Linked DNA regions of Arabidopsis thaliana. The main gene of each other region encodes a partner of the protein of the gene in region 2 in a complex. Each region holds a gene or a part of one and is shown on either strand. Other genes may lie near its edges. The genes, in order: DPMS2 and DPMS1.

What was found.
Region 1: DPMS1 (region 2) and DPMS2 share a complex: the UniProt entries of both Arabidopsis thaliana proteins name them as parts of the dolichol-phosphate mannose (DPM) synthase complex.

What each region holds. Positions count from the first base shown.
Region 1 is NC_003070.9:27,947,244-27,953,448, forward strand, and holds DPMS2 (dolichol phosphate-mannose biosynthesis regulatory protein-like protein), read right to left. Parts: upstream 4,426-6,205; 5' UTR 4,322-4,425; intron 4,171-4,321; exon of another isoform or gene 4,041-4,170; coding exon of another isoform or gene 1,779-4,040; intron 1,776-1,778; exon of another isoform or gene 1,548-1,775; intron 1,429-1,547; 5' UTR 1,412-1,428; coding exon 1,322-1,411; intron 1,198-1,321; coding exon 1,045-1,197; 3' UTR 802-1,044; downstream 1-801. Other genes in the region: AT1G74350 (Intron maturase, type II family protein), read right to left, coding at 1,779-4,040. UniProt on the Arabidopsis thaliana protein: Regulates the biosynthesis of dolichol phosphate-mannose. Regulatory subunit of the dolichol-phosphate mannose (DPM) synthase complex; essential for the ER localization and stable expression of DPMS1.
Region 2 is NC_003070.9:7,126,095-7,130,563, forward strand, and holds DPMS1 (Nucleotide-diphospho-sugar transferases superfamily protein), read right to left. Parts: upstream 2,669-4,469; 5' UTR 2,584-2,668; coding exon 2,465-2,583; intron 2,040-2,464; coding exon 1,940-2,039; intron 1,846-1,939; coding exon 1,812-1,845; intron 1,731-1,811; coding exon 1,654-1,730; intron 1,578-1,653; coding exon 1,552-1,577; intron 1,462-1,551; coding exon 1,297-1,461; intron 1,210-1,296; coding exon 1,095-1,209; intron 998-1,094; coding exon 893-997; 3' UTR 653-892; downstream 1-652. Other genes in the region: AT1G20570 (Spc97 / Spc98 family of spindle pole body (SBP) component), read right to left, coding at 1-255, 334-465; AT1G20580 (Small nuclear ribonucleoprotein family protein), read left to right, coding at 2,885-3,043, 3,685-3,737, 3,831-3,897, 3,994-4,047, 4,215-4,277. UniProt on the Arabidopsis thaliana protein: Transfers mannose from GDP-mannose to dolichol monophosphate to form dolichol phosphate mannose (Dol-P-Man) which is the mannosyl donor in pathways leading to N-glycosylation, glycosyl phosphatidylinositol membrane anchoring, and O-mannosylation of proteins; catalytic subunit of the dolichol-phosphate mannose (DPM) synthase complex.

The DNA.
Region 1 (6,205 bases), about 21 Mb from region 2:
CTGAAAACTTGAGAGGTTTCGTATATATTTTTATAATGAAGGTTCAGAAGAGAATGTTTTAGGCTCTTCACTTTTTTATCAGAAGAAGACGGTACATTACTTCAAAAAGAAAACATGCATTTATTAGTCTGGTCCAAAAAAACGAATCTACACCTTCCAAAATTTTGAAACCTATTTTAGCAAATAGTTAATGACAGCTTTTTTGTTGAAATAAAGAATTGACTATACAAATGTGGTAGAACAGAATTCAAAGCGTGTTGGAAAATAAAATAAAAAAGGAAATTGATTTTTGGTTGTATGTATTAAGTTTTGGTCTCTAGTACAGTACAAGTGAATGGGCTATTGATTTTATTAATTGTACGAAGATGACTTGAAATGATTTATCCATAAGCACTAAGTAGTGCTAATGAGATTAGAAAAAGCTAAAACTATGATTAAATTTCATAAGATAAGTCAAAACCAAAATTCATTACAGACATAGAATAATTGCAAAGAGAAAACTCACTTGTGTCTCTAATGCTTTGCCAGCTCTTAGCCTATGATGACTACTACTACTGATATTTTTCATAATATATCTGTTTCTCAACTTTCAAAAGCACTAATTATGATTTAAGGTGCTTATATTGCTAACAAACTGAATTCCTATCAGTCAATTTTATTTATTTTTCTCTCTAAAAAAGACGAAACCAGAAAAGAAAATAGATCAGTAACTGCCATATGGAGAATACACAAAAGACAAAATAAGAAACAAATATATATATTCGTGAAATGCATCATTCATCTAAATCATTCGTATATTCTGTAAATAGTTTTTTAGTTGAATTGTCAGGGAGCCTAAAATCCATCATCATTAGTATATATTCTCTCAAGAATTTATTTGAGCTTAACATGTGTATGTATTTAGAGTCAATAAGATATAGTCTCGTACGGTTCAACGACACCCATTTAAAGTTTCCGGACTAAACCTCTGAAAGACCAAAACAATGTAGGGACAACTTAAGAAACAAGGACAGAACTTTGTCTTACGGCAAGAGTTGAATGAAATTAAGCCTTCTTCTTTTTGGATTTGAGCATGACCATGCCGATGAATACGGAAATGAGAGAGAGAAGAGCTATGCCGGCAAAGACAGGTACGAGAATGGCATAGTCTTGGGGTAAGAAGTACTTGTGGATGAAGTGATCACTATCTACAAATGGCTGTACAAAACGAAAATTCTATTATGTCAGCTTTTTCCTAGTAATATCCTAAACATTAGATGACATTGGTACATCAAACTGACAATGTCTTTTTAAGGAACTTGGGGGAGATGTTGTCACTTACCAGGATGATGACCCAAAAAGTATAGTACGTGAATATGGACAAGCTGATTGAAGATAGTAGAAGCCCGACTGCTCGATCCGCTAATTCCATTTTGTCAAGTTCAAAACCTGCAGCACCGCAAATCAATTGTGAGAAAAAAATCAGAAAAATTCAAGAAGCTAAGCATTGGAAGATACAGTCAAAAGTGAAGGAAGTTATATTGTGAATGTCAATGAGACCATTTCACCTAGACTTTTCCCATTAGACCAGCTAATGCCATGGTTTTATGTTCTGAGGGTATGCAAACTGTGCTACTGCACAAGGCCTCTAGAAATTAAAACATTTGAAGAACGATAATCACCGGACATATGATTTGCTAGACATCAGATACACAAAGCTCAACAACTGCCTAAAACGAATCAGAGTTGACCTAGGAAGAATCAAACACTTGCAAGACTCTTGTCGTGGAGAGTAGTAATCATCTCCAGGCTCCAAAATCAACAGCTTGAAGTGATATTTGACCTATATACAGATCTTTGAGGTGTTGCTTACACAGCCCTATTCTCCTTCCATTTAAGCTAGAAGGAATACAAACAGAAAATCCAGTTTTCCAACCTGGAAACTTCTGTCTCTCCATTGCATGTAAAGTATAAACAGCAGGTGCAGCCATCGAACAACCAATTACGAAGCAATTGCAAGGCCTTGATTCGCTCACTAATCGAGCTAAAGACAATAAACACAAACCACTATTGGAAAGGCCGTATGTTAGATGTTCATCCCTGTCAAAAGCAGGAGAATCTAGTTTCTCATGTTGTATTTCCTGTTCTATATCTTCAGCAGAGGGAATAGTGCTCAGTTCCAAATCAAGGCGTTTCTCTATTTCATTTTCATGTATTCGATATTTTGCTGCCAAAGTACGGATGCATGACATTCTGATCTGATTATCAATAAGAGCCTTTATCTCATCAAAATTACTACAGCCTTCATACCAAATCACCCATCGCCGAACAAGTCCTGAATACCAATCAATTATTTGGGCAGTATCTAGCAAAATAAGCATAGAATTTGAACGAGCATAACCCTTGGCTGTTATTAATCCGTAGCGATAAAGACGCCTTCCTATAGCATTAGTCGGAGCGACAACATCACCAAAGAAAACAGGTCTATCATGAGATTGTGGACATGGCAAAAGCGCTTCCAGATTAGCCGTCTCTGATGAAACATATGCCGCAGCAGCGTTTTGGAACTTGTAAAACGCATCTCTTAGTTCTTGAGGAACAGTAGGTTCTACAACATGCTTGGACAAGACAAACTCCTCGCTTCTATCTGCAGAGGTTCTTAGCACGTCCTCCATCCATATTCTAAGCAAGATCTTATACCAATGATCTGTTTCCATGCCTGCCTTTCTGTGGCAAGATATTTGACTCAAGGTAGAGTTACTATCCGCCAAACCTTTGATTTCTGACTCTTTGACTTTCTTCAATCCATGTCCTAACCATTTCTTTCCAATTCTAACTGTACCTAAGGTCCAAGCCTCTTCTTTCTGCAATGCAAAGAGCCTAACCTTCTCCTTTAACTTGTGAACAGCTTTGACAGTGGGACTCTCCCTAACATTTTTCCTAACCAAGGTACCCAAAACACGAAGCCCACTGGTCGCTTCACATGGTGACGGGTCTGTCTCATCTGTGATGTCCAAATGCAGTGAGTTCCGTAAGAAACCTATAGCTTCAGATCTGATATCACTTGCAACTTTCTTGGGACCAGACACAGAGAAATATATCTCATCCATAAATCTGCAGCAATAAACTCTGAGTGCAACGTCCTGCTCTGTAGTACTTTTCAAACCTTGTTCTCCGGCTTGCCTCCTAAACCAGGAACGAAGTTTTGAGCCTGGGCTATCTTCATCAGTCTTTGAATCAAGACCAAGGGCTTCATGCCTCATTGAGATTCTATAAAATTCATGATCAAACCGATCAAGATATATGTTCATTAATACACGGGACAACACCCCTTCTTGTGGAAGACCATGGCCCTTGGGAAATCCTCCGAACTCGAGATTGAGCACCCGGGCTTCAAACATAGAACGGAGTAAGATGCTTAAACTGCTGTCTTCTACTTTTTCCTCCATTACAGAGAGCAAGTTCTCGAAAACAGAAACATCAAGTTTTTTGTTCAGGCTCAAAGTGAAACACCAATCCGAACGAGAAATATTGTTGTTGATGTACTTCAATGCAGAGGCACGTCCCCTTCCGCTTCGACAACTATGTGAAATCTTAGAAAAATGAGGACTGAAAACAACTTCAAGAACTATTCTGATAGCCTCTTGGACAACTTTAAGAGCTACACTAGGCAAGACAAGGACCTCTTTTGTTTTATCTCTAGCCACAATCGAAAACGTATTTGAAGCAACATCAAACACCCCACTAGAGAGCTCTTCTGCAATAGAATCAAACGCGACACTACCATTTCTTTCTGTTATAGAAACATTGGAGTTAAGCCTAATACAATCATAAGCATCCCGGAGAGTTTCAGGCCTTGCAATCACCTTCTTCAACAGATCACTAAACTTCCCATTGATGCACTGCTCTTTGACTCTTTTCTTCAACCGGAGTTCAAGAGATCGTTTTAGTTCCATACGACTTCTAGGTTTGCTATCATCATCAACATGAGAAGAAGATTCTTCTACAAGAGAAGCTAATTCCCCAGCTAGTGAAAACATTCCAGTTTCCTTACTAGCCATTTCTGCATTATCTGTTGCAAGCAGAGCCGATTTGGGAAACGTGGAGATTGTGCGACTCCATAAGCCCCGTGGGATTAGGGTTTCTATGTAACATCGGCGCAACAAATCTAAAACTAGGTTCCGTTTCCTAAACATCAAGTTAAAATTCCGATTCCTAATTCTAAAACCTATGCGATTATATCCCGACTAAGCCAGTACAAAGTTTCTACAATGAAACGGGACGAATCAGGTTTTTATCAATCTCTTTGCTTAAATCAACACAGAAATGGAAGGAAACTTACGTTCAGGGATGCGAAAAGCACGATTGGTCTGAGAGATAGAAATCGAAGAAGCTCTTGCTTTGCACAGTGAATTACTCGAGATTGAGAAGAAGAACTCGTGACTTGAGAATAGGAAGGAAGGAGGGACTATTTATGAAATAACATAAACTATTGCTTACTTCTATAAATTACATTTTGACACCTTTAGTTGTAGAATATTTATGTTTTAAACATTTTTTTTATAACAGACTTACAGGTAATTTAGTACGCAACAATGAGGCAGTTTCATTTACCATGAAAGCGCAAGAAAAAATATAGACAAAAATATCATTAAATGATAAATGATTAAATTAATAAATTCGTTAATTCAGTTTGATAATTAAGATAGAAACATGAGTGATCAGCTCTTCCTACGCGGTGGACCGACATCATCTACTTGTTCAATTGTTTATCAGTTTCCTATCAATTGACACTTTCTTATATGTAAAATGCGTTGCTTCATGCTTTGCTTATATTCATTCCCCCACGAATACAATAATATCTAATATTGAGCTACGTTTTAAGTTTACGTACCCCCTAAACCTCTAATTGTTTAAAAGGTTTCAAGGTTCAAGAACTCGGGTTTGGGTCGGATTAGAGCGAGTGGATATATTAGTACCTACAATATATACTTTCTCTTATTGGATCCAAAGCTATTTAATTTGGTGTCGTGCATGTGCAAGTTATTTTAGGTGATAATGTTGAATTTGACCAATGGAAACATCAAAACAACAAATGGGTACGCAGAGAAAAACCAAAACGCACAAACGACGTGGCTTTCAAGTGGCATGGACTTTTAAATTTCATAGCAAAATTTTCTTTTGTTTGGTCGCCTTAGTTGTTTGCCTTAGTTGTTTTGGCATGAACAATGTTGGCTCAATACCATTCACACGTCCTTAGTGTTGTTGAATGGACCATTGTTTTTTTATCGGAGGTTTCCTTTAGTTTTTTCTTTTCAACTGGTGGAAGTTAATAACTTTAAAATTGGTACCACTTTGATTTTTTTAGAATTTTGATCATTATGCATTCTAGTGTCAGAAGACACAACATGGATGCTTGAAACATATGTGGCAGAAGAGAGTGATTCAACTTCCTACTATGATTAGTTGAAGCTTGAAGCTACTACTGTATCTTTAAAGTAATAAAATTGAAGTTATAGAAATATGACTGTAGTTGATAAACATATAAGTAGACTATTTTTAAGATAAAAAATATTAGATGATTATCCTAAATCTTGTTGCATATCATCTATCAACAACTTTGAAAGTTTGATTTGTTTCTGAGTAATACTACTTTTTGCAGATTTTGTTTCTAATGACACAAAATATCATTTTAGCAATTAACTATAATTCCTTTTTTATATTGTTCTCTTTATGGAAGAGAATAGTAGCCTCTGAATTTTCTAATTCAAAAAAATATCAATGGTCTATCACGAAGTGTTATACTATTCAATTCAAAATTAATTGAATACTTAGACTAATCAAGGTAAAATAATACACGCATTTGACTCTTATCACGAAGAAAAAAAAAAGGTAAGAGAAAAATATTTATAACGGGAAAATAAATAACAAACAAAAGAAACGAATAAGATGAGATTTAATGATTAACAATGATTTAAAAAAAAAACATTGGTCAAAGCACGAAGTAAGTCAACTAGTGCCGTCCATATGAATCACATTGGACCCCACCATATACATGTATATTTTGTTAACCTCTTTTTAGTAAAATATCTTTAATTTTTTGAACATTTCAAAATGATGCCAATTTCTTCTCTTTAGTCGTCTAAAACTTAGTTAAATAACACTTTTAAATCTCTGGAGAAGCAAATATATCTTTTAATGCTACATAAGTCACATTCACCATATA
Region 2 (4,469 bases):
CCAACCAGAGGCAGAGTTCGAAAATGCCATTAAAGTAGGAGGAGATTTAAGAGAGGCATTAATTCCACTAACAATAGACTCCACAAGCTTCAAACATGTAGCAGCATACAAAAATCCAGCGAGAAGGACATGAAGGCTTGACTGAGACAAATGAGAAACTCGTATCTCACTTTTAGCGCGGAAAGTTTGTTCCTTTCGGTCCCAGAAAATGAAGGGACTAGAGAAACCTTGCAAAGCTTGTAAGAGACCTTTCACCTAATTAACCTCCGGAGAAAAAGGGTTTAAGTTGCTTTGCCGAAAAGAATTTGAAAAGAGTAGTGTTTGTGGCATTACCAGATGGGATTCATTCACGCTCACTGAAGGAGGAGCTAGTTCTGAGTGTGTCCAAACTCTGTGACTGCACATCATTCCCGGAATTAGGGTGTCTAAGCCGGCGTGATCAATACGAAGCAACGACTCAGACATCACTGTGAATTTGATTTTCACATACCAAATTGGTTCGGAGGGAAATCGGAGAAGCTTTGATGTGGGTGAATTTGAGAGAGAGTGAGTGAGAGCAAGTGAAGAAAGGTCTCAAATGGGCCCAAATTATAAAGGCCCGTCGCAGTGACAAAGATTATCACATTACGAACGATCTAAAACATAAAACCTTCTTTGGTTGGTTGGTTAAGGTATTTATGAAATGTAAGATATCTCAACTCAACATTCAAAATCAACAATGTCTATAATATGAACTTTTGAGTCTTAAAAGATGCGACTCTCTGAAGTCAAAGTAAGTGAAGTTTCTAAACGACATGATCAGAGTTCAACTGTTAAGAGAAATCTATGAAGCAATGGAACAAATGAAGAGTATAAAGAGAGACTCGTGTGTTGTTGAGTTGCTTGGTGTGTCTTAAGTTGTAAGCAGGAGATAGACGAGGCCTTTTAGATATTCCACTATTTCAGATCCTCCGAGTTTCGAAGTTCCAAAGACTCTGTCAACAAAAGTGATCGGTACCTGCAGATGAAGATGAGCACCAGAGAATCAAGAATATGAATGGAAATATAGTTTAGAAAGAATCAAAATCACAGTGAATTGGTATAAAAAGAGAGACCTCTTCAATATGGTATCCTTTTCTGGTTGCACGAACAATCATTTCCATCTGAAAGACATACCCTTTACTCACACATGAGCTAATCACGTCTTCAAGCGCCGATTTCTTGTATAGCCTTCCAAACAAAGAGGTGCGGAGGTCAGACATGATACTATCAAATGATGTCAGTTAAAAATATGCGCATATGTTATTTGAATTATACCGGAATGATCCTGTTAAATCAGATACACCAGGCCATAAAAGTGTTTGAGCTAGCACATTTGCTCCTCTACTAGTGAGTTTCCGCATAAGATTCCACCCGTGTACACCACCACCTTTTACATATCGTGTACCAGTTACTATACTTGCATTTGTCTCTAGTTGTTTCCTTTATGATAATAAGAAAAAAAACAAATCAGTTGAAGTCACTATAGGTTGTGAAACTAGTAAGAGATCAAGAGACTCTTCTTTTTCTTACTTGATGAAACTTGGTAAGTATTTTGGCTGCACAGAAGAAAAGTGACTGGGTTAGCTAAACAATTAAACAGGTAAACAAGAAAACTAAATTAATGGCTCTTACATGATGTGAAAGATCAGCATCCATGATCACGACGAAATCACCCGTAGCATGCTTCAAACCATGAATATATGCAGTTCCTGAGATTGACCATGCCAAGAAAATTAATTTCATTTCTTGTTAACCAAAACTAGAAGACAATGAAGATACAAATTACATACCCAAACCAAGCTTCTTGGCTCTAGCTCTTAAAAGCTGCATCATAAAAAAGATAAAAACATGATTTCACCTAAACAGAAGAACGCCCAATAATTTACAAATTAAGGTCTTAACACATCATTGTACTCACGATACGGTCTTCACCATACAATTGCTGCAGTTGCTTGACAATTTCCTGTGTGCCATCAGGACTCCCATCATCCACAACAATTATCTCAAAATCAACGTCCCTAAATCATACAAACAAGTAGCGAAGCAAATTCTCAGTAACAGTTAACAAAGAGTCTACTTAACAAGTGCAATTCTATATTAATTTCATATAAGCAGCCATAACCAGAATCGATCTAAGATTAGCACATGTAGCTTCTGACTATTCTCCGATCACTAAATCAAAGTTTTTAAAACACCATGAAACTACTACTATATAGTTTGAGGGATCACTACATTGGCCTTTACTAGCTCATGCACAGAAACAACAAATCACGAATTAGGATCTGCAATCTACAGAAACATGATCGGAAAATTTCCGAGATCCGTAACTTGAAATTGGCGATCAGGTTCGAGTATTCAGTAAAAGAATAACAAAAAACGTAATTCCGATTCTGAAATGAAAGAATGAACGTGAAAAGACCAAAAGAAATAAATATTCATTTACCGGAGATGCTTGAAAATCAGGTAGACTATGATAGCGATGTTGAGGCGCTCGTTGTAGGTAGGAATGATTATGCTATACTTGTACTTCTTCTCTCCTTTGGTCTCCATCTCGTCCGCCATCTCTTCCGGCGAGTTTTGGTAACGGTGGTTCCTTCGTCTTAACCCGTGAAATCAGCCGTCGTCTGTACAAAAATAAGGATTAAAATAATGTCAAATATAGGGACTAAAAAGCAAGTTTCTCAAATTGGGCCTAATATAAATATGGGCCTATATAAAGCCCAAAAATAAATCAGGAAAGCTTTAAAAGAGGTAAACTCGTCAATCGCATCTGAGTCGCTCTTCTTTCCTTCCGCCATTTTTTTCTTTCTAGGTTGCAGAGTTAAAGGAGAAGGTTTTCAATTAGGGTTTTGTAGAGAGAAAGATGAGCCGAAGTTTGGGAATACCGGTGAAGCTTCTTCACGAGGCCTCAGGTCATATCGTGACGGTGGAGCTAAAGAGCGGCGAGCTTTACAGAGGAAGTATGATTGAGTGTGAGGATAACTGGAACTGTCAGCTCGAGGATATTACTTATACCGCCAAGGTAATCAACTGATACTCTGAAGATCTCGATTCATTTTATATGAGACTGTTTTTTGAACCATAGGTTTCGTTTCAATTTCATTGTTTGATGTTAGTGCTGTTAAAACCCTAGATTTGGTGAGCTGGGCAAATTTGCTGGGAAATTTTAGATTGCTTCTTATTTTAAGTTCTAAGTGAGATTAAGAATCCTTGAAATTCATGCTGTATAAAACCCTAGAATGCGTGATCCTGCCAGTGACATTAGATAAATTTTGACTGTAGGGTATAGTCTCCTCTGATTGGTTAAACTTATTATTGATCTATAGGACACATCAATAACTGAGAAGAAAGGTTCTACGTTTGTGCTTTGTAACGTTTTATCCAAAGCCTAAGTTGCTCTTTAGGAATACAGTGGTCAAATGTGAATTATCTGAAGTATGCAGGTCTTAAAGCGTCCTCTTATTTGCGGATTATTGTGCCGTATGGGTTTTGAGTCAACCTGTAATTATTGGGAAAAGAACTACATGTAGTTCTCAATTCAGAAAGTCTTAACTCTTTAAGTGTTATTCTTCATAGTATACATAAATAATCTGTCAACTTAATGGGTTTGTTTGTTAATTGTCACTGAACTTTTGTTTTGGGTTTTCCAATGCTGTGTTACAGGATGGTAAGGTATCACAGCTTGAGCATGTCTTCATTCGAGGCAGTAAAGTCAGGTGCTGTACTTGTTTCCTTGTTTATGTAATTCATGGGATCATTCTTGTTAACCCTAGCTGTTTAGTAATTGACCTGCGGATATATCTTGACAGGTTTATGGTCATACCAGACATTCTCAAACATGCTCCAATGTTCAAGCGGTTAGATGCTAGAATCAAGGTATATATGCTTTTTGAACCCTGGATGCAGAATGATATTAGGATCTCTATACATATCTCCAACAAACATCTTACCTTACTTGCTTAATCAATGTAGGGAAAGAGCTCATCACTGGGTGTTGGCAGAGGTAGAGGTGCAATGCGAGGGAAAGTAAGTTCACCCTCTCTCTCTTATGATTTAGTGCTCATGAATGCAATGTTAGGAAGTTTTATGGAACTTGTTAAGATGTTCAAATCCTTGTTATCCCTTAATGGTTTGTTTCTTCTTTGTCACTACTAATGGTTAGATTCTTGAATCTTTGTGATATTATCTTAAAGCCGGCTGCCGGGCCCGGGCGTGGAACTGGAGGAAGGGGAGCGGTACCACCTGTGAGGAGATGATTGATTTTACGCTCAACATGTAAGCTTTGATTCTGGGATAGTCTTTCTGTGATATCCAGGTGAAAGCCGCCTTTCTTGGTTCTGTCATTAATGCTTTAGAGAACACTGTAAAACCAAACAAGAGAGAGAGATATCCAGATGCACTACTAGTTCTGTATTTTGGGTTACCAAGATGTTTGAATCATTGACAAG